Ovis aries: one gene and its partner. The protein of the gene in region 2 purifies or fractionates together with the protein of the main gene of each other region. This does not show direct contact. Links are inferred from orthologs where the notes say so. Each region holds a gene or a part of one and is shown on either strand. Other genes may lie near its edges. The genes, in order: ARMCX3 and RANBP6.

The links.
Region 1: the proteins of RANBP6 (region 2) and ARMCX3 purify together in Homo sapiens (co-immunoprecipitation; 3 studies listed by BioGRID and IntAct, counting the BioPlex papers as one, with this or other methods). This does not show direct contact. The link is inferred for Ovis aries from reciprocal best matches to the Homo sapiens genes RANBP6 and ARMCX3.

What each region holds. Positions count from the first base shown.
Region 1 is NC_056080.1:133,255,606-133,268,288, forward strand, and holds ARMCX3 (armadillo repeat-containing X-linked protein 3), read left to right. Parts: upstream 1-4,487; 5' UTR 4,488-4,769; intron 4,770-5,045; 5' UTR 5,046-5,223; intron 5,224-5,504; 5' UTR 5,505-5,565; intron 5,566-5,840; 5' UTR 5,841-5,911; intron 5,912-6,170; 5' UTR 6,171-6,321; coding exon 6,322-7,461; 3' UTR 7,462-12,426; downstream 12,427-12,683. UniProt on the Homo sapiens protein: Regulates mitochondrial aggregation and transport in axons in living neurons. May link mitochondria to the TRAK2-kinesin motor complex via its interaction with Miro and TRAK2.
Region 2 is NC_056055.1:74,171,617-74,184,523, forward strand, and holds RANBP6 (ran-binding protein 6), read right to left. Parts: upstream 7,531-12,907; 5' UTR 7,515-7,530; coding exon 4,197-7,514; 3' UTR 2,956-4,196; downstream 1-2,955. UniProt on the Homo sapiens protein: May function in nuclear protein import as nuclear transport receptor.

The DNA of each region.
Region 1 (12,683 bases), on a different chromosome or scaffold from region 2:
AATACGAAGACCTCATTGATTTAAGCTAATTTGTACATTGAAAACATTTTCTTCTGACTGCAGAGGAGATAGCAGCTTTCAAATAGCATATGAAACTATAAAAACATACCCTTACAAACAAAGCCAGTGTGCTTTTAATATGATTTATAAATTAATGGATAAAATGAATCTATAGTAAATTGGTCAGTGTTTTAATTGTGACCAGTTTAAAGAAGTGAACCACTATCCCTTTCTTCTTGGCTGAACTCATAGCGTTATGTGTTAGAGAACTGCTAGATGGCTTCCTTTCTGGTTTTGAAGGACAGACTCTCCGCAGACCCCAAATTCCAATGAATCTTATGTCTTCAGATGAAGCTTACAAATTAGTAACTTCAAAGATTAGCTTGCTCTTCATTCAAAGCTCTATTTAAAATCTATTCTCAAGTTTCATGGTGTAACCCATAAATCATCCAGAAATCAGAGGATTCCCTGCTATCCCATTGATGAAAATGATAGTGGAATTTTCGTTTGATCACGACACTGGTGAAAGACCTCCGGTATTTGTCATTTGTGCCCTGTCTGTCCCCTTGGTAGTGCCTGGTGTTCAGCCTTTTCCAGTGGAAATAATGGTGAGGGTCTGTGGGTGACTGTAAATCACTGCCACAACCTGACAGCCCTTGAGATCCGCTGCCTTTTCCCCTCACAAACGGCATAGGTCACGGGACCCCAAGCAGTGTTGCCAGGAAAAAGAGGCCTTTTCACCCTCTCCCTTCTGTTACAATTTCATTGTACCATCTATACAAGTCCCTCAGAATAATCCCAGAAGGTAGGGACAAAGTCTGCAGAACTTAGTTCCCAGACATCCAGCTGTCCCCGCCGGGGTGTCATGCTCTAAATATAAACCCTTCAGGCAGCCTCTTTCTTAGAACATTGAAATCTGACACCCCAGCAGGAAGCTCCCTGGGTGAGGGGCCCCTGTGTGGAGGAGGCCCTTTCAGGAGGTGAACCAGGAAGCCCAGAGTGCCTTGCTGGTGAAAAATTCACAAGTCAAGAACATGTCACAACTTTCTGGTCTTCCTTAAACATTTATAGTTCAAACATACCGACATTACAACTCATCTCTCTCTAAACCCCTAACTCATTTGTTTTGCCATCCTCTCCTTACCCTGTTCTTCTTATCATCCTTTATTTTACTTCTCCAAAGGAAGTGATTTATATTTACGAAGCCTTACTAACAGAACTTGCAGATTTCACTATCATTCTTTTGGCTGCTAAGAACTTAAAAAGTAGCTTTTATTTATCTTGAGTATATACATTAGAAAGAACTGCAGAGCATGTAAAACTTAAGAAATACAGGTGTCATTGACTTGCCTCTACAATAAGGACTCATTCCACAACTCTTACTTAGCCATGCTTCAGGGACAAAAGATCCGCTCCTACCTCTCCTCGTTAGTTACAAATCTCTCTCCCTTTTGGTATATTTTTCAATTTTTCCAGTGTATAACCCCTGACTACCACTCTCCCAGGCTGTCAGATCTTTCCTGTTTGGATCCACTCCCTCTCTTAAACTTCCTAAACCCCATGGGAATGATAACCCTGTCAATTCTCGTGGTCATTTTGATCCACAATTCCTACCAAGGAAGCTGGGGACTGACATATAAAATCTATTTTCCTTCCGTTATACACCCACCAACAAATATTTATTTAAGGGCATGCTATTTGCCTGACATACCATTTGAAAAGCAAAACGGGAAAATCCTTAAGCAATCCCTCAGACAAGTCTTCAAAAGACTATGTGAGTCCACTGTCAAAAAGAACCTCTTGGCTTAAATCAGCATATGGTCATATATGATGCATGATTTATAACATATTCAAAAACAGAAAAGGATCAGCAGACGGTAACACTGATAGAATTTTGGAGGGTAAGAAAAATAAATGATAGAAGATTGTTATCTTTAAAAGGTGTATTACTTTTTGTATCGTGTTGTTTCTGTGTTGTGTATTAGTTTTGTTTGATTGCAAGCAACAGAAAGCACATCTGTTTAACTTAAACAGTGAGGGCATTTCGAAGACCAGCATCAGCTCTGAGGTGTCAAGGTAGGAGGAACCGATAGATGGTCTCTTCAGGACGCCATAAACTTCCACTGATGTTTGGTTTTTCTATCTTTGCTCAGGTTTAAACTTCAGTAAGAGAGTAAGTATTCAGTTGGTTTGTTTTGGGCACAATGACCACCCTTTTGCTGTGGAAAATGACAGGGCATGTAAAATGTGAAATGCACTTCCTTTCTTTTCCCAGAGAGAACTGTAAACTGTTTCAGAGGTTATTGTTGATTTGCAGGAGCACTTTAACTACTTGGGATATGCATCTTTTGTCCAGTTGTGACTGAGGCGCTGGGGGTCTATCTGCCACAGCATGCTTTAGTTGTCACTGAGCATTAGAGAGGTGCACTTCTGAAATGGTGGTGCACTTCTGAAATGGTGGTGCACAAGGCTGCCTTCTAGGCCAAAGCCCCCTGACTTCCTTGACAGGATTCCACACGGTCGCATCGATAGTACAAAGTCTTGTGCTCAGCCCTTCAGGATCAACACCTGAATTTGTCTGTATAGTGAGAGCAGATGCCTGTATCAAATAAAGACTCTCATTCAGAGAGACATATATAAATCTATATCTGAATGCCCAAACCCACGGATCACTGCATTTCCTCTGTAAGACGGCCACAGGGAAGCTAAGTTTCACAACGAAATGACAACTGAAAAATTTATCCTGAGAAGTACAACCATCAGGGGTACTAGAGGTTTCTGTTAGTTTTACCAGCCCCTTCTCTCCCCGTTGGCAAGCTACTACTTGGGAAGCCACAACTTCAGAAGGTTGCGTGGTAAGCCTGCAATCAGAGAGCAAGGGCATCGGTGCACTTTAAGAAGTGGCTTTCATCTAAGAAACTTGAAGTACACTTACATATCATGGGGATGGCTCTGCCAAAGAAAGCTAATTTTTCCACGCATCTCAGCCAAGACTTCCTCTCCTCCAGACAGTGCTTGGGTGGGAACTATCAACACTTGCCTCTGACTCTTCTCTTCATAGACTCCTGTTTGAATAAGCCCCCTCGCTGCACATGATCTTTCTCTAAACACAGAATCATACAGTTGATTTGCTTTCTGCTTACTAACTTTCAGTCATATCCTGTTCATCTTCACCTTACACAGTCTTGTATATCAATTGTATCTCAATAAAAATGGAAGAAAAAATACATTTTAGTCATATCCTAGTACTATTTTTCAGAAGTTACATTGATATGAATTTCTCTGGAATTTTGCCTGTTCCCAAATTTCCCAGTCTCTTGATTTACTCCCATATTGTCTGTGGATCTTAAACTTTTTAGACTCAGATAACAACCTTATATCTTAACTATCAGGGCATATCACACTGTAGACCCTGTGTCATGACATTATTTCCTTATTTTTCCCACTCTTAAAAGTTCGCTCGTTGGTGACAGGTGACTTGTTGAATTCATCAATACAGTCAGTGAAAAGGTTTCACACTAATTGCTAGATGCTGAGTTCAGCCAGTTTTGACTTGGTCTAACACCTCTAACAACCTACTCCGTTTAAAAATGCTGTTGTCCATTTGTATTTTTTGTAATGTTCTTTGTATGTCGCTCACTTTGTCAGTGTGCATGCCTCCTATCTGACAGGCATCCGACATACTTGTGATTACCACTCAACCTTTTCTGTGTAGCTGGCTTCTGAGGGCTCCTGTGCCTTGCTAACTGATGAAAGTGAAAGTCTTGTTTAGAAGACTGGCTTAGTTAGAAGATTTATGTATTCTCAGACACTCTGATGAGCTTATTCAGGATTGTGTTATGTGCTAGGCCCCAGAAGACACTAAGATTGCTTTGAGTGAAGTGTGTAACACTCCCTACAAGTGAGAACATGTGGGACTTTTGGAGGCCATCACCCAACATCACTCTCCCACTCTTTTTTTTTTTTTTTTACCAAATGAAAATAGCTTTACAGCCATTTTTTTCCTCCTAAAAAGAATGCAGTCTGGGGGTGGGAAAGGGCAGAACTGAAAGAACAACAACAAAAAATAAAACAGTAAGTAAGGGAAAAACTGCATTCACTCCAGGTCTCCTTTTCTGGTGGCTTTTTCTTTTCAGATCTGGGACTAGATTTCAGAGGAAATGGTAGACATTTATAGCTGGGAGGCAGGGAGGTGGAAGGAGAGGTTACTGTCCCAGGAGTCCAGGGAAGGAAGAGGCAATTTTTCAAAAAGTACAAGTGGCCAGTAACCCCAGGGGAAGATGCTGTCCCTTTCTGGTAATCAGAGGAAGGCAAAGACAACTACAGGGAGATGGGATTAGGAAAGAAAAAAAAGAGTAACAAGGCCTGCCGTGGGGGAGGGAAGGGAGGGGGGCGGGCCCTCTTCTGCCGCACTGCTGGTGGGAGGGGAAATTGGGGACCAGAGTTGGTGGATGACGTAGGTCTCACGTGACCAAGAGCTGACGTGTGCAGAAGTCCTTCTTGTTCTGGTCGTTGTTCCCGTCTGAGTATCAGCTCCCCATTGCCCCGAGGGCCAGCGGGCCTGCAGCAGAGGAAAGAAGGAGGAGGAGAAGGAGATTGTCCCGGATCCGTGCAGGTCAGTGCCTGGGAGAGTCCAGAAGGTGGGGGTGGCTGAGGGTGCAGGGCGGAAACCGTCGCGGATCCTGGGGCGCCTCCGTCGTCTCTTCCACTCGCCGCCGGCTTTCCAAGACGTCTGTCCCGCCCGCAGCCCATTCTGATGCTGCGAAATGGTGAGCAGGGGGGTGTTTGGGAGGAGCTCAGAGATCGGGACGTGGGAATCTGGTGGGAACCGAGGCCGTAATCTGGAAAGGGAGCTGTACGCTGGGTGTTGGCCCCCAGTCCTCCAGGACGGTGCCAGAGGGGAAAGGCTGGACATGGGGAGGGGAGGTGCACCGTGATGTGTCAGCAGAACCCCGAGAAGGGTCGAAGGGGTGGAAACCTTTGACAGCCAGGCCTCCGAATTAAGGACAGAGTTTTCTGTTCTGGGGACCGGTCCGTCCACCAAGCACTAGGTCGCGGCAGTTTCCCGTCTTTCTTACTGTGACTGCGTCTTCCTGACCGTGGCTCTGTGTCTCGTGGATCCGAGCCTCTCCCGGGTTGCCAGTCTTTCCATAGGTTGCGGCACCACACCAGGCTAAAGAAGAGGAAGGAAATTAACCCCGATCCGTGAAGGTCGATTTGAGGGTAAGACCATCTAGAGACCCTAACGGGGGCGTTGGGAGGATGGGGTGGGGAGAAACCAGAGGTAGCGATAATCTAGGTTAGGTCTGAGTCTGAGTGTGTTTCTCACACTCTTGGGACTGTGGCGAAATGGCGTGCAGTGTGTGTGTGTGCGTGCGCGCGCGTGTGTCGTGGGGGGTGGGGTGGGGGAGAATGACAGAAGGGAAACCTATCAGATAGTTTGTTCGTAATCCTCTTCTCTCAACAGCACTTAGTCCCCATGTTTTCGATCTGTCATCCTGCAGGTCTGCTGTAGCAGGTGGCACCAGTTTAAACGAGGGAGGAAGTTTCCTCGGATCAGTAGAGGTCGGTTTGGGCATGGGGGCTGCCTGGAATGGGGGAGGGGTTGGAAATTGCCCACGGTTGGACAGGCTCACCCCATGTTATTTCCCCAACAACTCTCCATTTCAGGCTAGAGAAGCGGCAGGCATGTGCATGTTTTGGATGGCAGAGAGAGGTTGTCTTTTCTGTATTTTTTTTCTTAATCTGACAACCTAGATAGGTGAATCAGGAAAGCAACAAATGGAGGAGCAGTCAATCCATCAAGGCTTCAGTTCTCACTGGCTCTGGTCTCTCTGCAGATTGCAAGGGTTGTTGGGCGTGGCACATCTCCAGGGGAGGGAAGAAGGGGCAAACTGCCTGTCTGGAGGAGGTTAGTGCAATGGTGCCACTCCCTGGGAACATCCAAGGTTGGGGTAGCTGAGGCCCCAGCAGAGAGAATGCGCTCCACTGCCTTTATCTAGGCTTGGGGAGGAGGTGGGCTGGGGAGAGTGAAATGAGGGGGAAAGAGTTTGTTAATAATCTACATTTTCTACCAAGAACTCATTTGCTTGTCTCTCTGTACAACTCTCTGCAGAGGACAACTCAAGGAGAAGAGAAACTCAAACCCCGTTTTCTTTCTCCACCCCTAGGTCCACCTCCAGAATCAGTTGCCGTGGCCTTGAAGTGGCTGAAGACAATCATCCTCCACAGGCCTGCACCCAGGCCAGGCCCATAGCCCTCCTCCCCCAGCCTGAGTGACCACTCTGTTCCTTGGTCCCTGATACCATCAGGGACGATTGCATGGGCTACGCCAGGAAAGTAGGCTGGGTGACTGCGGGACTGGTGATTGGGGCTGGCGCCTGCTATTGCATTTATAGACTGACCAGAGGAAGAAAACAGAACAAGGAGAAAATGGCTGAGGGAGGGTCTGGGGATGTGGATGATGTTGGGGATTGTCCTGGGGCCAGGTACAATGACTGGTCTGATGATGATGATGACAACAGTGAGAACAAAGGTATAGTATGGTACCCACCTTGGGCCCGGATTGGGACTGAGGCTGGAACCAGAGCGAGGGCCAGGGCAAGGGCCAGGGCCACCCGGGCTCGTCGAGCTGTCCAGAAAAGGGCTTCCCCCAATTCTGATGATACTATTTTGTCCCCTCAAGAGCTGCAGAAAGTTCTTTGCTTGGTTGAGATGTCTGAAAAGCCTTATATTCTTGAAGCAGCTTTAATTGCTCTGGGTAACAATGCTGCTTATGCATTTAACAGAGATATTATTCGTGATCTGGGTGGTCTCCCAATTGTTGCAAAGATTCTCAATACTCGGGATCCCATAGTGAAGGAAAAGGCTTTAATTGTCCTAAATAACTTGAGTGTGAATGCTGAAAATCAGCGCAGGCTTAAGATATACATGAATCAAGTCTGTGATGACACAATCACTTCTCGATTGAACTCATCTGTGCAGCTGGCAGGTCTAAGATTGCTTACGAACATGACTGTTACTAATGAGTATCAGCACATGCTTGCTAATTCCATTTCAGACTTTTTCCGTTTATTTTCAGCAGGAAATGAAGAAACCAAATTTCAGGTCTTGAAACTCCTTTTGAATTTGGCTGAAAATCCAGCCATGACTAGAGAACTGCTCAGGGCCCAAGTACCATCCTCGCTGGGTTCCCTCTTTAACAAGAAGGAGAACAAAGAGGTGATTCTGAAGCTTCTGGTCATATTCGAGAACATAAACGACAATTTTAAATGGGAGGAAAATGAATCTACTCAGAATCAATTCAGCGAAGGTTCACTTTTTTCCTTTTTGAAAGAATTTCAGGTGTGTGCTGATAAGATTCTGGGGCTAGAAAGTCATCATGATATTTTGGTAAAAGTGAAAGTTGGAAAATTCGTGGCCAAACTGGCTGAGAATATGTTCCCAAAGAGCCAGGAATAAGTTCTTGATTTTGTAGTTTAGAAGCAACACATGTTGTAAACTATTCCTTTTCTCCACCTTGTCTATATGGTAAAGGAATCCTTTCAGCTGCCAGTTTTGAGTAATGAATATCATATTGTATCATCAATGCTGATATTTATCTGAGTTGGTCTGCAGGCCTAAGCTGGATGAATGAATATCACTACCTGTTCTGAAAATGTTTGTTGCTTTTTATCTCACTGCCTAGATTGAAATATTTTTACTATTTCTTCTGCATAAGTGACAGTGAACCAATTCCTCACAAATAAGCTCCCTCCTGTCATTTGCATTGACTGCATTTGTGTATCATCAATGAAGTTGTGTGTTAATGCTGGAAAGAAAAAAAAGAGAAACCATACTTATCTTTCGGTTTATAGTCTAGTTGGAGAGATAAGAAAACATACAAACAAAAAGAAAACAATATCTCAAGCATATACTCTTTGTTAAATACTCGCACTCAGAGCGCAGAGAAAGCAAAGGTTTCTGCAGGATACAGTAGTCAGCTACAGATTTATGGAGGAAGTGTTCATTTCAAATGAATCCTCAGTGGGGTAGGTAGTTAGGGAGTTCCATGTGATGGGAGTGAAGGGGGACTGGTGTGAGAAAGGCATGGAGGTAGGAACTCTTGCTGTGACAGTGAGGAGACTAGTCTGTTTAGAGTGGAAAGTGTGACTGGAAGTAAATAAATTTGGAAAGTTGGCTGAAGCCAGTTTGTGGAGAACTGTTGGAATATTACCTCACCGAACACTGAGAGCCAGTGAATAATTTTGACTAGAAAGAATAATTGGAATTCATATAGAAGTCCCTGTCTCACCTACTGTGCAGTGTCCATGAGAGTATGGCAGAAATGGAGCCTTTCACACCCTGGTGGTAGGAATTCGCTTACACTGGCACAAGGTTTGCAGAGGGCCATTTGGTAATACATATCATTAGCCTTAAAATATGTAATCCCTTTGTCCTAAGGAAATAGTTGAATCATTGGCCAAAGATTGTATGTACAAGGCTGTTTATCCCAGCACTGTGTGAAATAGTAAAAATTGAAAGCAAGTTAAACAATGTAGCACACTGGACTGGTTACATAAGTTAAGGAATATTCACATGGTGTAAGATAAATATGTCAATTGCAGTCCATATTGTCAGGGAATGATATTCATCATGCACTGTTAAGTGAGAAAGGTAGGTTAGATAGGAGTCTTCTTAGTATGATTCAGTTTTTCTGAGAATATAAGATATTTAAGTAGACACTAAAAACTCTGGAATTACAGACATCCAAATAGTAACAGTGATTGTCTTTGGGTGGAAGGATAGTATAATTTTTACCTTTTTACTTTTTATTCATCTATATGTTCTTATTAACCTAAAACAAATACTGATTTTTCAGAAGTTTTTGAAAAAGGAAAGTGTTGGGAATGGAGCAGGTGATTGATTGGAGCACGAACTGAGTAGAAAAAGTATTTACATTAAACATAAGATGGGTTGAAGTTTTCTCTCTGAAATAATAGATGAGTGCTAAAGATGGGGCTCGCTGAAAGAATTAAATGAAGTAATATATGTGAAATACTTAGAATTTTCTGGCACATAGCAATTAATTAAGAAAATTGAGCACACTTAGTTCCTTAGAATTCAGTGTCGATAGTTGTTCTGGTTGACCTTTGTGTTGCTGGGGGCATTCTGCCATGTGTCAGCATCATTTAATAAATAATAACAACAATAAAAGTTAGCATTTATTAAGTGACTACTGTGTAGAGTGATGTCATTCCTGCAAGGCAACTGTTAACAATAGTTTCTCAAAGAAATAGGCTTTTCTTTTTACTGTGTACTCGAGATGTTTTAGCAGACATGATCTCACCTGCCCTTACAATGTATTGTTGGTCAGTTTGGGGGTGTTATCCTACTTTATACATGAGGCCAGGAAAGGGTAAAATCTCTGTTCAGTTATGATCTGGTTTTAGCCCCAGGCTTCCATATACTTACTCAAATGTTGCCTACAATAGACAAAAGGACCAAGGACTGATCAGCTTGAAGTTGTTGGGTATGATGACTCTATTGAATCATGCTGGGGCTCCTTTGACATCAGTTTTAAGGGTGGAATGAGGGTAAAGGAATTAAAATTTTTTCTTGCTCTATTATTAGGTAGAAAACAGGATTTGGGAGGGAAAGCCTTATCCATTTAAAATAAACTAACTTTGAGATACCTGTGTGACATCTAGATGGATATACCCTAATGTCATTTGAGTCTATTGATGTGGTGCTCAGAAAAGACCAGGCTGCAGATATAGATTTGGGGGCCACCAGAGAAGAAATGATAACTAAGGACATGGGAGCGGATGTGATCCCCAGAGAGAAGGTGCAGAATGTAAGAGTAGAAAGCAGCATAAAGAACTGGAGAAGGGATTGTGGCAGCTGGGGAAAGAAGCATCAAATTCCAACTGTGGATACCCTTCCAGACACTATCTCAGTATACCTATATAGTCTACATCAAATTGGATGATACTGTAGATGAACTTTCAGAACCTGATTTAAATTTTGTCTACTTTTCTTCTAAAATGTACTCATTGGAGATACTTGAGAAAATAGAGGCAATAAGAACAAACTTGTTCCCTCACCCAGATCTGTATCGTGAACATCTAAAAGAATTCTGATCAAGCCACATTGAACTGGGGTGCTGAGTGACTTTTTGACCTGGGGTGGCAATGAAGTGAACTTGGGCAATAAAAAGCCACCCTGCAGCAGGGGTGCAGGCCTGACCAGTGTCCATCTGCTGCGCAGGTCTCTTTTCTCATCCTCTCCTCCCTTCCCATTCTCCTTCCCTTTCCCTCTTTCACACTTCTCTCTGATTTCCTCCTCTGAGAGACCATTGACAATAGTCTCTTTGTGCTTCTGTGTCTTTTGGGGGTGATCGTTTCATTTCCATGACACCAGGTCATGCACCAATAGGCATTTGATGCAGAATGATAATTGTCGTTGCTGTGGTAACAAGATGACCCTGGGTACGTATGGCTGGATGCCAAGACTTTTCGGACGGTTGTTTACAGAGACTGAGAAAGCACCGGTCTTAGTGTGGAACAGCCCTATGTGCATTGCATGAATCTTGATGTCCCATGCCTGGTATTATTTGGAACTGAATCACCCGGACTTTGGGAAGTGCTGTGTGAGACAGATGTATGACTGCCTGGTCCAGGGAAGACACAGGGCCGGCCCAGCCACACTCTGATGTCCTGATGCTTTCACATCCGAGGTTGCCACTCAAACATTTTGGGAAGGGCACCCTACTAGTATAGTAGCCGTGATTGTGGCAGGTCATGGGGGCAAGGGGGAGCCAATGACCTTTCTTTAGAAAGCATGGCAGTTTCTTGGAAACTGAGGAAATTAGAAACTCAAGGATATTCTGCTATTTTGTTTTTATCTACTGATTTTAGGAATTTAAGTGGGTCTATTCCCGGCAAATGTGTTCAAAGGTGATTTTACAAAGATGGAGTATAGTTCTGTTATAAATTGTCACCCAAAGCATAATATTTAAGGCTCAGGAAACTGGTTTTCTATTTTTAAATTCATATTTTACTTGCCTTATTTCAAAAGAGATTCTAAGTGTAGATTTAGCAAATTGATATGGTTCAGGGAAATTTTGTGTTTATGCCTCTGTTTGGTTAATTTCTCTGCTCTATTCCCTTGAGAGTGGTTTTTTGAAGAATGATTATGACTATTTTCAATGCTAACATTTTACATTCCTTCTTCATCATATCCCAGACTGAAGATTTTTTCCCTTTATTTCTCTGTTCAAACTGTGGCTCTTCTTGCCTTTAAACCAGAACTATCACGCTGCCATCTCCGGGTACAGAAGACTAGGATATTGACCCCTGAGGTGAGGTATCAAGCAGGATAACACATCTTTGCTTTCAGATATATATATCTCCATGCCTTTCCCTCTCCACTGTGTCCTTCTCAGGCCTTGTTAAGGGCTTGGACATTGTTGGGTTTGGGGATAAGCCTGAGGGGAGGGAGGGAATGGGAAAGAAGCCTTATTGGAGGGGTAGCTTCATTCTAACAGGTTCATGTCAAAGGAATTTGATCCAGCACTGACAGTGGGCTAAGTGTAACTCTTTGACCCTTGTTGACCATTTACATTTTAAAAAGTGAAAGAATAAGTGTATTACAAGCATCTTTGGGTATTAGAACATTTCCAAGTTTGCACACGGACATAACATGTTATTAAATTGGGTGGATTTTCTTTTTTGAAAATAAAAAAAAGAATGAGAGTCTGTTACTCTAAGAAATGTAATTACCAAGTAGAACAGATTTTTAGTGTTGGCTGCTCAGAACATTCTGTCCCTAACATTCTGTACATCAGGAACCACATTATCATCAGAAGGTTGTTTATTTAGTGCTTAGGGAATTGGGGCGAGCTGACTTACTTCGATGTTGGTGCTGTCAACGTAGAAGAACCTGATGCACCCATGTCGATTATGGGGGTTGACTTGTGTGTGAAATCAAATACTTGTATTCAAGAGCTAGAGCATGTTTCTCTCTGTACACAATTAGAAATTTTGTCTGCCCAGATGACCCTTAGCCAGGGGTGGATTATCAGTTGATGGTAGTTTTATGACTGTTAAGATATATTATCAATTAGTTTGCATACAGGATTTGAGAAATGTATATTTTACAACAGGAGAAAACTGTAGTATTTGTAATGGATTCCCTCATACATATTAATATCTCGCTGTTCTGAACCTTTCTTATGAGTAATGATAACGTGTTGTTGATTTTTTGGAAACCAAGGTAAAATAAATTGTTACCTCTTTAGTTTTTTTCCCATTTCTACTTCAGTTTTCTGTTTGCTAAAATGTGGTTTAACTATAATCTTGCTAAATTTTGTGGCTTTCTTTCAATAAGCTGTAATGAAAATTCTGACATAATGAAATGGATCAATAAAAGAAAACTTCTGATTTTTACAGTCTTCCATCATTTAAAATGAATTAAGTGGATTATCTTGTTGATATTAGAAAAGATGGAATCTAGGCAAGACCAAATAAAACAGACAACTATTTTCTAAATCTTAAATCCATTTAAACTGACTTGGAGAATAATTCTTTGTAATCACTTAGTATTTAAGATCATCAATCTTCACCTCTTGTTATGCTGATCTGTGTAATCTATAGCCAAAAATTGAAAGTATTAAATCGCACCATGTTGCTTATAAAAATTAC
Region 2 (12,907 bases):
CCCCAACCCCCCCTCCCCGGCTCTCCAGGTTGGGGCGAGCTGTGGAAAGAAGCAAAGAAAGAGGCACCGTCGCCGTCGACGGTGAGCATGCGTAGTAGAACACTACCACCCCCACTTCACGTACCGATACGTGAAAGCCAGGACTTCGTCTCAGCTTCAGGCCCTGAGGCCTGGTAGGTTGCGCGGAGCAATGATGTCATCAGCTTGTAGCCAACTGGAAGGGGCGGAGTGAAGAGAGAAGCAAGGCGGCCGCTGGGCTTTGCTCGCCACCTCCTGAGTGGGAGGCTGAAAGGGTTTTAGAAGTGGGCTGTGCTAAAAGGGTATTTGTTCCGCGAGATCCCTGTTAGCGATACAAGCTAAAATTAATCCTGCAGGCGCTTGCTAGACAACTTTCGTTGATGGAAAGTGAATTGTAAGTAGACATAGAATGTAAATCCTATCCCTATTGTAAAAAGTTTCCCTTTGCACACTCCCATCCTCCACCCCCGTGACTGCTAGTTTTTCAATGTAGAATTGAAATTTTGTAAAGTTTAGAAAGGTTCAAGGACTCGATCATTTGGAACAAATGTTCACATGCAAAAGAAAAAGAGATGATGTGTAGAACTCGAATTCTAAAACTCCCGTCCCCGTCTTAACATCAGTTCCTATTTTGGAAGTTAATCCCATGTTTTCCGTTAAAGTGAAAAGACATCCCCACCTTCTCAATTTTTGACATCTGGCATCTGGTCCCATCACTTCATGGGAAATAGATGGGGAAACAGTGGAAACAGTGGCAGACTTTAGCTCCAAAATCACTGCAGATGGTGACAGCAGCCATGAAATTAAAAGACGCTTACTCCTTGGAAGAAAAGTTATGACCAACCTAGATTGTATATTCAAAAGCAGAGACATTACTTTGCCGACTAAGGTCCGTCTAGTCAAGGCTGTGGTTTTTCCTGTGGTCATGTATGGATGTGAGAGTTGGACTGTGAAGAAGGGTGAGCGCCGAAGAATTGATGCTTTTGAACTGTGGTGTTGGAGGACTCTTGAGGGTCCCTTGGACTGCAAGGAGATCCAAGCAGTCCATTCTGAAGGAGATCAGCCCTGGGGTTTCTTTGGAAGGAATGATGCTAAAGCTGAAGCTCCAGTACTTTGGCCACCTCATGTGAAGAGTTGACTCATTGGAAAAGACCCTGATGCTGGGAGAGATTGGGGGCAGGAGGAGAAGGGGACGACTAAGGATGAAATGGCTGGATGGCATCACTGACTCGATGGATGTGAGTCTGAGTGAACTCCGGGAGTTGGTGATGGACAGGGAGGCCTGACGTGCTGCGATTCATGGGGTCGCAAAGAATCGGACACGACTGAGCGACTAGACTGAACTGAAACTGAATTGAACTGAAGAGTCATGGAAGGGAATGGAACCTCATTTAAAGTCCTTGGGACTTAGTCTTCAAATATTTCAAATTAAAAATGAGTAGAAAGTAACTAACGGTCCCTTAATGCAGATAATAGTATTTTCTCAGGTTCTTTTTCGAAGATGCACATATTCCTTTTTCTGCTCTTGCTTGAAACGTCAAATTACTTTCAAAATTTTAGAAAGTAAAATTTTAAAAGATGTGTAACAAAGTGATTGCGATATATTGACTTTTAAGTCTGTTTTACTTCCCATCAATGTGGACCTTTAAAGCACTGATAAAATTCGAAACTAAAAAGCTTTTTCTTTTTTTTTTGCGGGTTGGGGGGTGTCTAGTATGTTAGATAGTCTTAGGTAAGAGTTAAATGGGGACACTTTTAAGGTTTTAGGGTATTGACAACCCCCCACACACAAACACACACCCATCATCTAGTTTATCTAGATCTCCTCTTACCTCATCAGACATTTGTAATTTATTAGGCATTTACAGCATTCTCTCTCCTTAGCCCATGAGTGAAAGTCGCTTAGCTGTGTGGACTCTTTGGGACCCTATGGACTATACAGTCCATGGAATTCTCCAGGCCACAATATTGGAGTGGGTAGCCTTTCCCTTCTTCCCAACCAAGGAATCGAACTCAGGTCTACAGATGTACTTTAAATCAGGAACAAAGGCAGACCAGTCTTACTTCAGGGACTGGCAACCAAAAATGTGTCTGACTGGACATCTTTCCTTTGAGAAAGCTTAAGAATCTGGAGCCATCCTATCAGATATCACCTCCTTCTCTTTAGCCACCAACCATATTTCATGACTCCCAGATAATATTAGCTTACATTTATTGAACCCTGTGCCACTGATCACTTTATATTCATTACCTTCTTTAATTCTCACAATTAGCTAGGCCTTATGTTTATTTCACTGATGGAAAACTGTTTAGATTAAAAAAGCAGCTTGCCAAAATTCAAATCTAGGTTTGTCTTCAAAATTCTCCAGGTGCCTAATTCCAAGTCATATGGTAGGTTTTCCAATTTTTCATGCACAAGAATATATGGAATTGGTAGAAATGTTTACCAAAAGCTTCTTAAATAAAGAATATTAATAGACACCTGGATGAGTAGCAGGAAAGTTAGCTACATGTCACTGAGAGGCCAATTAACTTCGATCTTAACTATTACGAAAGTAGAATCAGGTCCTTGAACTTTTAAAAAATATAGATCAATGAGAAGAAAAACTGCCTTTCAATCCCACCATCCATAGAAAACCTCTATTAATACTTTGTGGTGGGGTTTTTCTATTTATTCATCTATACTTTTAAATTTAATCTTATTAAAATAATGACTATACCCCAACCAATGTCCTTTTCTTTCTTTCCCCTCATTAACAATAAATAACTACAGGGAATGTATAGGAATTGCATATTTAAAATCTCAATTTCGTATCTCTGTCCACAGTGGCCTAGATGGCCTGGTCATGAACTGGTAGGAGGGGAAACAGGGAGATTTTAATATAAAAGGAATTCCAGACCATAAAAAAGAACACAGAAGAGGTACAAACACCAACAGCAGTAACAGCTACCATTTATTAAGCACTTACTAGGTCTTAAATACTCACTAAATACATACACAGTACTCATAACAGCCCAAGGAAATCCATTACAGATGTATTTGTTCTTAAATTTTGGATCAATAATTTGCTGAGTAGAAAGCTTTTTTTTCTACCCTACAAAAAGCCTGAGATTAAAGACCAACATTGTAATTAATATGTTACCCCAAATTTATAGAACTGCTTTCTTAGAATTCACACTGCTAAATGACTGGTCATCTCAAAGCTGTTTTCTTTTTCATGTTTAAAGATTAATTTTGCTTCCCTTTCATGATCACAATTGAATTCTCTTTAATGCTACTAAACAACTGAGTTTCTTCAAAATAGAAATCTATTTAAGCCCCATTTTGAATCAGGGCTTCTCTTGTTGAACTGCTTTGCAGGGAAAAATGGCTTACATACACAATGCAATATTCTGCTCAAACACGTAACAGTGATTGACTCCCACAAATAATCATTTACTCTTTGTCAAATACTGTATTACAGTATGTTATATGCTACCAATGTTAGATGTACCAGGATACCCTTTACAGTAACTGTGGTCCTTAAGAGTCCTGGTTAAGTTAAAATAGACAGACTGATCTGGCTAAGTAACTATCAGCTGGACACCTTGGGAAGCAGCATATGGATATGTCTCAGCCTCAGGAGGACATTATTAAAAAGTTCTTATGTATTATGGAGAAAACTCCCCACATCCACTGCAGTATCTCAAAACTTTTCCAATACCAGCATCCTCCCATTACTATGAAATCTAGGAGTATCATAAAGGAGGAATAAGCCTGCCACTATATTCTTCACTCAATTCCAAAGAGTTTGTCCTGGAAGTTCTTCTATCCCATCTTTGTGCACTCTTAACATCTTGTGTTAGGCAGCAGGACACCCTGACACCAAGCACACTGCTTGCCCAGCATCAGGAATTTAGACAAATAGCAACAATGTACATACTTCACATCAAATAGAGGAAAGGTGACAAACATTTTAAGACAACAGAAGCACAGGTTATCACCAAGGTCTGTATTTGATAAAACATGCAAGGTAAACAGAGGCTATAACACTGACTAATCATGGAGAAACACTGGGAAGGAATATAAACTGCTCAGCAGGAAGAGAACAGCTCTCTCAATCATAATAGAATCCACTCACAACACTTAGTTGGAGTTGCTTTTATGGGGGATGATATTCAAGTAATATTAAAGTGCTTCAAGCAAAATTTAGCAGTTCCTGTAAGGCTTCCTGCTGCTCATCATCAAGATGGGAAATGCATTCCAACCATAATTCTTCAGAAGTCTGTACCTGACGTACAACATTAGCTAGGCGTTTGGCACAAGGATCTTCATAGTTAATAGTCTCGTTAATTTTTCCTTCTGCAATTATACTAATTATTTTTGGAAGATTGGAATTATTTGGACCAAGTACAACTGGGTGGTTACTTTCAATTAAGTCACAGAGAAAACTCAAAGTCTGAATAGCTTCCTCTTTATCCTCATGCAGCGGAAGCCATGACAACCAGTGTGGAAGAACTTCATCTACATTTACACAGTTAGGCTTAAACCTCAAAATCTTCCCTACTGCTGAGATACAGTTCTCTGTAGCAATGACATTTTTTTTGGTTTTGGAATTTGCACACTTAATAACTTTTACCAGCAGCGGAACAGCTTCTGAACATAAAGAACGATAATCATCTCCACCATACTGTGCCATAACACCCAGGCCATAAGCAGCAGCTTGCCTGACTTCAGGGTTGTTGTCACGCATATTTAGTAGCATTGGCCACCGAAAATATTCAACATATTTAAATGAAGTTGGACTGCAGTGCTCTATGATATCATCAAATATGCACAATCCCCACTGTCTGTCTGGCCATGGCCTATTAGAACAAATTAGATTTACAATTAATGGAAGTAGCTGTTCAAACCACGGTAAAATCTTTTCCTTGTAAGTACTAAATAAGGAGTGCAAAATATCTGATACTTTGGTCAGAATATAAACATCACATTCATCCTCATCTTGCAGAGACATTTCAACCTGTTGATCATAGTTTTCTTCCTGTCTTTTGACCTGTCTTAGTTCTTGGTTTTTAAAGTGCCCTTCAAGTTTTGCTTTCAGTATTTCTCCCAGTTCTTCCAAGTGTTCATCATTAAGGCACCCATCTCCCATTACTTCAATGGATTTTGCAAAAGAATTCATTATTTCTGAGAGTACATCTGTATCAGGTTCAGTCCCAATAGCCTTGATTAAGGGATCACATATGAACTGCCACATCTGTGCAAGATACTCTGGCCCCCGAATTCTTGCACATTCCAGGAGAAAAGGCAAGGACTCTGCAGCTGCCACTCGAACATTGTCATGGAAATAAAATTTCAGTAAAGGAACCATCAGTTTTACAACTTGTTCTGTATAGTCCATAAATCCTTCTCTTAACTCCTTAGCATAATAAACCAACATCTGGCAAGCAGTTGCTTTTGCTTCAAGTCCTGAAGTTTTAATTCCAAAACTTTGCTGGTCTCCAAGATTTACAAATTGCCATCCATCATCATCACTCATATTCTCCACATCTTGTGTGTCTAAGAGAGCAACGTCAGGTTTAGCTGAAGCAGTCTTAATAAGAGGCTCAATAACCAGTGGAAGGTACTGTTGAAAATCACTTCCAAGAATTTTACACATTCTAGCCCATGCTGAAACCATGTAAGAGGTCTGAGGGTCATCATCTTCCATATTATTTAACTCTGATTGTGTCTTCAACAATAACTGCATCACATTTGATGCATCTTGCATAAATTTTTCCTTACCAACAGCAAGACCAACATGGCTAATGCATTCAATAGTCTTTCCTTTCAGAAGTTTGAGTTCCTTTTGAACAGCAAGCTCAACAGTATGCTTTAGTGAGGGCATAAATATATCATAGTATGGTACAAATTTTTCTTCTATTGTATCTGCAACTGAGGCAATGGTTGTCACAAGCTGTTCTAAGGCCAACTTAGTTCCATTGCGAATCAACTCTTGAAGTTTAATCACCAAGATGGAATGTAGATTTCTTACCATACTATCCAAATATAGAACCAGCAATGATTTGGGACAGTCTTCAATAAAAATAATAAGCGCAGAAGCTGCATGTGACTGTACACGCTGATTACCTTGATTTTCCATAGTACGCAACAGAGCTGCAATCACAGTTTCATGGAATTTCTTTTGGAAGTTAGGTGCAAAATCTGTAGCCATCTGTCCAAGTGTAGTACAGGCTGCAGCCCTCACCCTTGGATGAGGATCCTGAAGAAAAAGCAAAACAGAGTTAACTGTTTCATCTAAAATTGATTCCATTTGCTGATGGCATCCTTCTCCAATAGCAGATAAGGCCATTAATCCAGCATGTCGGTATTTCCAGTCAGGGCTCTGCAGCATCTGCATGATATGCTCCTTAGTCATTGGTAAAACAAGTTTTCCACCGAGCCCACAAGCCAGTCTGTCTAATGCACTCTCAGCAGCAACTGCATTGCTGTCAAAATCATCTTCTTCCATTTCATCAGCATTTACCCAGTCCTCGTCATCTTGTAGATCAACCATCATTGCTAATATATGAGGAACTGCCTGTGCAATAATATTTGTATGTTTTTTCAACATTGGGGTGGCAGTTTCAGACAAGGTCACTATTACTTCAAGTGCCAGCTGGCGTTGCAGATTACTAAGTCTAGAGTCTCCACATAACTTTAGACTCAGTTGCAGAGTATCTTCTAAATAAGGACCCAAATATTTAGGTACAGTATCTGCAATCTCGACAAGGGATTCTAGCACTGAATCATCATCCTGGTAGCATGAATCATTCACAGCCTGTAAGATTCCAGGAAGCAAGTCTGCAAAGTCTTTGAAAAGACCAATATTATTCTCATTAGCAAGTACAAATGCAGCTGCAGCTCTAGCAGATAATGTCCTGATTGCTGGATGTTCTTGATCTTGAATACACTGGTCCAACAACCTTTTGATGATATCCAAATCGTGCCGCTCCTGGTTCCCAAAAATCCCTGGAAAGTGCCAGAAAACGTGAAGTGCAACTTCCCATAGAACCACATTTTTAGAGTAGATTGAATCAACAAGGAACTTCAGACCTTCAGGCCAGTGGTTAGTGCCATCCTCATCTATCAAATTCCTGGCCAGGACTGCAAAAATGTCACAAAGTTTTTTCCTCATACTAGCATGTGTTTCTAACTTAACAGCCAGTATCAGTTCAATCTTGACGTCCCTCTGAACATCAGAAGGCAAATTTGGATAGACTTCCTCAAACCCAGAGGACAAAAGCCGTCGTAGCAGGGCGGCAGCCATTTGTCTCACCTCATAACCTGCTCTTCTATTTCTGACGGCATCTAAGAGGAATGTAGTCTTACACAGACCTGGGATATTTTCATAGATTTCCTCTGCCTGCCGCCGCACCATACAGCTTGGATTGATCAGGTTCTTCAGAAGCTGGTAAAACTCTTGCTTTCCCGACACGGTCGCCGGTACTCCGGCAGACCCGGACGCCGCCATCGCGTTCTGTCAAAGCAACCGCGACGGGGAAGGAGGGCGGGGGTCTGCGTCCCGGAGCAGTGACATCAGCGAGGCGCCGGCGCGGAGGGGCGGGGCGGGGCCACTTCCTCCCCTGCCGTGGCTCGTCTTGGTCCGGGCTTTGGGAGGCCGGGAGGCCGGTGGCGCGGGACTCATGGGGTCGTGGTGGGAGCGAGGGTCGCTCTCCATCTGATTTCCAATAAAATGAAAATGCACCTATAGAGAGGAAAAAATAAAAGTATGATAATGACTATTAGAATGGGATTATGGGTTTTTTCGTCTTCTATTTCTAAACTATATCTACGGTTGTTACACTGATAATTTTAAAACAGAGCGTACGCCTTGAAAATCTAAGTGAAAGAAGACAATCACGAAAGGCTACATGTTTTATGATTCCTTTTATATGAAAGGTCTAAAGTGGAAAATCCATACAGAAAGTAGATTAGTGTTTGGCAATGGCTGAGGGGAAGAGAGAATAGAGAATAACTGCTGTCAGGAAAGTTCTTTCTGGGTGATGAAAATGTGAAATTGATAGTGGAGATAGCTGCACGACTCTGTGATTATACTCAAACCATTGAATTGTACAATTTAGTTTGGTGAATTGTATTGCATGTGGATAATACCTCAATAAAGCTTTTTATCAAATAAGTACAATAAAAGATAAAGACAATGATTAGCACCCACTATTATATCTAATGCAGTAGAGCAGAGGTGCTCAGATTCAGGTGTGTGTTGGAATCACTTGCTCTGTGGATTATAATAAAGAATGAGAAAGGTATTTGAGTAATGTATGATGAAAAGTAACGTGGGTTAGTAAGATTAGAATTCTGGTCTTGTCTCAAAATTGATTTGAATCCCTGGTCTTGTCACTGAAGTTTTTTTTTTTTTTTTGCAAACTTAAAATGTTTTTACAGTTTTCCTTTTCCTAGAGAGCAGCTGAGGTTATTCTAAGAAATAAATGCCCCTGAGGCTAAATATTGTTTCTTTAATTCAGAAAGGGTTGCTTCCCTGCAATTACCAGGCTCATTAATTACACGGGCTCAGCGGTAAATAATCCACCTGCCAATGCAGGGGGCACAATTTTGATCTCTGGTCCTAGAAGATGCCACATGCTGTGGAGCAACTAAGCCCTTGTGCTACAACTATTGAGCTGTACTCTGCTGCTGCTGCTAGGTCGCTTCAATCATGTCCGACTCTGTGTGACCCCATAGACGGCAGCCCACCAGGCTCCGCCGTCCCTGGGATTCTCCAGGCAAGAACACTGGAGTGGGTTTCCATTTCCTTCTCCAATGCATGAAAGTGAAAACTGAAAGTGAAGTTGCTCAGTCGTGTCTGACTCTTAGCGACCTCATGGACTGCAGCCTACCAGGCTCCTCCATCCATGGGATTTTCCAAGCAAGAGTACTGGAGTGGAGTGCCATTGTCTTCTAGAGCCTGGTAAATAGGAACTGCAACTACTGAGCCCACAAATCCAACTACTGAAGCCTGTGTGTCTAGAGCCTAGTGCTCTGCAACAAGATAAGCCAGTTCAATGAGAAGCCTGCCCACTGCAACAAAGAGTAGACCCTGCTTGCTGCAATGAGAGAAAAGCCTGCACAGCAAGGAAGACCCAGCACAGCCAAAAATAATTAGTAAAATACATAAATAAAATTATATATTAAAAAAATCATCATTACTTTAACAATGATTAGATCTTACTTTTGTATGGGCCTTGCCAATCTATCATTTTAACCATTACACAGGTTTGCAAGATTGGTAGAATAGATATAATACTAATTTTAGGTGAGAAATGGAAACTCAGGAAGGTTAAGGGATTTGCCTAAGATGACGCACCCTGAGTCTCCAATCTACCTCTTCTGAAAGCAACACTGATGCTCTTCACCATACCACTTCCCCATAATTACTCTTGATTTTGCAATACAATCAGACGTTTTCGCTTATTGCATGGTATATTTTAAACTTCTCTGAGTTGGCTGAACTTTAATTTTGTTCCTGGTAGTTCATCAATAAAGAATCTGCCTGCCAATGCAGGAGATGCAGGTTTGATCCCTGGGTCAGGAAGATTCCTTTGAAAAGGAAATGGCAACTCACTCCAGTATTCTTGCCTGGGAAATCCAATGGACAAAGGAGCCTGGTGGGCTACAGGCAGCAGAGTCACAAAGAGTCAGACACGACTTAGTGACTAAACAACAACAAAAACAACAACAACAAATGCTCGTTTAGGAAAAAACCTTATTCTCTAAACAGTGCTTTTTATTCTGTGGACTGAAAGTCAACTGCATCAGAATCACTTGAGAAACTTATTTTAAAATGTAGATATTAGGGCTCAATCTCTGAACTACTGAATCAGAATTTCTGGGTGATACAACCTAAGAATGTTCAATTTTAACAAGGACACTGGGTTTTCATGTGAATACAAAAATTTGAGAACCACTGCTGAAATCAGTGTTGGTTCTGATTCCAAGATCTTGACTACAGTTCTGCATCTTGCTCCAGAGTCAATGGCTTTCCCACCATTCTTTGGAAAAGTCTAATTATAGGGCCTTTGCATTCACTCTTTCAGAAAATCTTAATAACTATTACATGTTGGGGGGAAAAAGCTTGTCTTAAAACCATATCTGTTAGCATATTAAAGACACAAAAACTAGAATGAGATACCACCACAGGCCCAATACAATGTTTTAAATTTAAGTCTAAGAATATCAAGTGACAGTGAAAATATGGAATAATAGGAAACTCAATGATACTTTTGGTGGTAGTTTAAGTGAGTTGGTAGAACCACTCTGTAAAAAATGTTTGGAAAATGCTGGGTTAACATTACGCAGTTATTCATTTATTTTCTCAGCACACGTTCATTGAGGGTATACTCAAGTATGGTGCTGTGTGCTGGGGATAAACATTAAATACATGAGGATGCCATGAGAGACAGCAAATACCATTTAGTGTAGTGATCACTGTGGTGATGCAACCACGTGAGTTTGTGGAGGCAGCTAAGGGAAATCAGGCAAGGCTTCCCAAAGGTGGTGATACCAGGGCTGGCTTTTAAAGGATAAATCTTTATTCACTATTTGAATAAAGAGAAGAAGTTTCTAAGTAAAGGGAACAGCTGTGTTCAAATGTGGAAAGGTCTTAGAGCCTAGTGTGATGAGTTCTGCCAGTATTTCTTGCTGGAGCATTGGGTATGTGACTTGAGGGGGCTTGGGATGACATAAGAGGCAGGAAGGAGGAAGACAGAAGTTCTATAGAAGCCAGATCATGAAGGGTCTCATATTCCATGTTAAGAAATTTGGCTTTTTTCCCCCAAAGGTAAAGAGGAGCAGTTTAAGGATTTTAATCAAGTGCTGTGAAATGATCCACATTTAGAAATATTACTTTGATAGCAATGCAAAAACTGAAGTGTGAAGATTGGAGGCATTTAGGGTTTTCCAGGCAGCAGAATGGTAAAGAATCCACCTGCCAATGCAGGAGACGTAGGGAACATGAGTTTGATCCCTGGGTCGGTAAGATCCCCTGGAGTAGAAAACGGCAACCTGCTCCAGTATTCATGCCTGGAAATTTTCATGGACAGAGGTTCCTGGCAGTCTACAGTCTACAGGGTCACAAAGAGTTGGACAGGACCGAGCACACACACACCTTAGTTCAGTTAAACTGAAAGTCTAAATCATTGCAGTGGTGGAAGGAAAGAAAAGAGGGCAAGGACTAGATAGGTTGAAAGAAGTCATATCAATAACACCTTACATGGGAAGAAGCAGCCTAGGAAATCTTCCTAAGTTTTGACCTGGGCATCTGGTTGGAGATGCTGTAATTTACCTGTTTCTTTACCCACACATGAGGAAAGAACAGTATTAATGCAGACCAAAAGACTGCTAACTCTTTCTGGAAGAATTCCCTAACAAATGAAAGTGTTAATCCCTCAGTTATGTCCAACTCTTTGTGACCCCATGGACTGTAGCCCAACAGCTCCTCTGTCCATGGAATTTCCCAAGCAAGAATACAGGAGTGGGTTGTCATTCCCTTCTCCAGGGGACCTTCCCAACCCAGGTGTCAGACCCAGGTCTTTAGATTTCATGCAAATTCTTTACTGTCTGAGCCACTAGGGAAGTCCTGGCTATGTACCAGGTGGTACTCAGTGACATTTTATGAACAAAGATGGAGTTACTCCCAGTCTTATCAAAACTCTCCAGTATCTAGTGAAAGCAAAAGTGAGAGTCATGTCCGTCTCTTTGCGACCCCATGAACTATAGTCTATGGAATTTTCCAGGCCAAAATACTGGATAGGGTAGCCTTTCCATTCTCCAGGGGATCTTCCCAACCCAGGGATCAAGCCCAGGTCTCCCACATTGCAGGCAGATTATTTACCAGTTAAGCAACAAGGGAAGCCCAAGAATACTGGAGTAGGTCTTCCTTAAGAAGATGAGTCCCCAAATCCATATTTTGTTCTCTAGTTGCTCCCACACTCCATAGTGATGGTCATTGTTACAAAGGTAAGAGCTAAATGGAATCCATTTTAGGAAAAATATTTATGTTCTTAGTTTAGAAGAACATACACAGATTTAAAATCTTAAAGTACTTCCTCTCTAGATTGCATAATTCAATTCTATTTACCTTTTGCAGTGTTATTTCCTACCCCCTCACCCCCTAAGGAGCACACAAATATTCAAGATTTCAAGAATGGACTTGAATATTTGGTTAAAGAACTTTATTAAACTTTGTAATTAAAATTGGATTTTAAATTTGTTTGCACTGTTGAGAGGGCATTTAAAAATATTTCCGTAAGGTGTAAGGTGGCTCAGAAGTGGACGATTCAAGTATTTATTAGCACCTTGCTAAGCAAAGAAAGGTGAAAAGTAAGTTGCAAATTTCTTCCAAGATCTGAGAGATTTAGAATCAAGTGGGAGGAAGTAGAATTAAATTGGACATTCTTGACAGTTTTGCAAGAATAATCCATAATAAATAAAAATATAGAAAACAAAAAATACTATGAAGGCTCCTACCAACCTAAATTAAAACAATCAGAATATCAGAAAGAATAATGCTTCTGATGAATTAAAAAGACTTTAAATATAATCAGCAAAAGTTCCAAGTGTCTAATACTAACAAAAGTCACAACTCATTGGTCATCTTTGGATGCTAGGTCAGCAACTGAAAATTAATAATAATCACAATTTTTCCTGCCTTTTCTGTATAAACTGTATTTCAGGAAAACCTAACAGTTATTCACATTCTTCTCTATAGAATTCCATATAAAAAGTGCACAAAAATGCTAAAATCAGAAAATTACTGTGTTGTAACCCAAATGAAATAATGAATGTAGGCAGCAATAACCAGTGGATGCTAAAACCATTAATGAAACATTGATTGGGATTTGATAATAG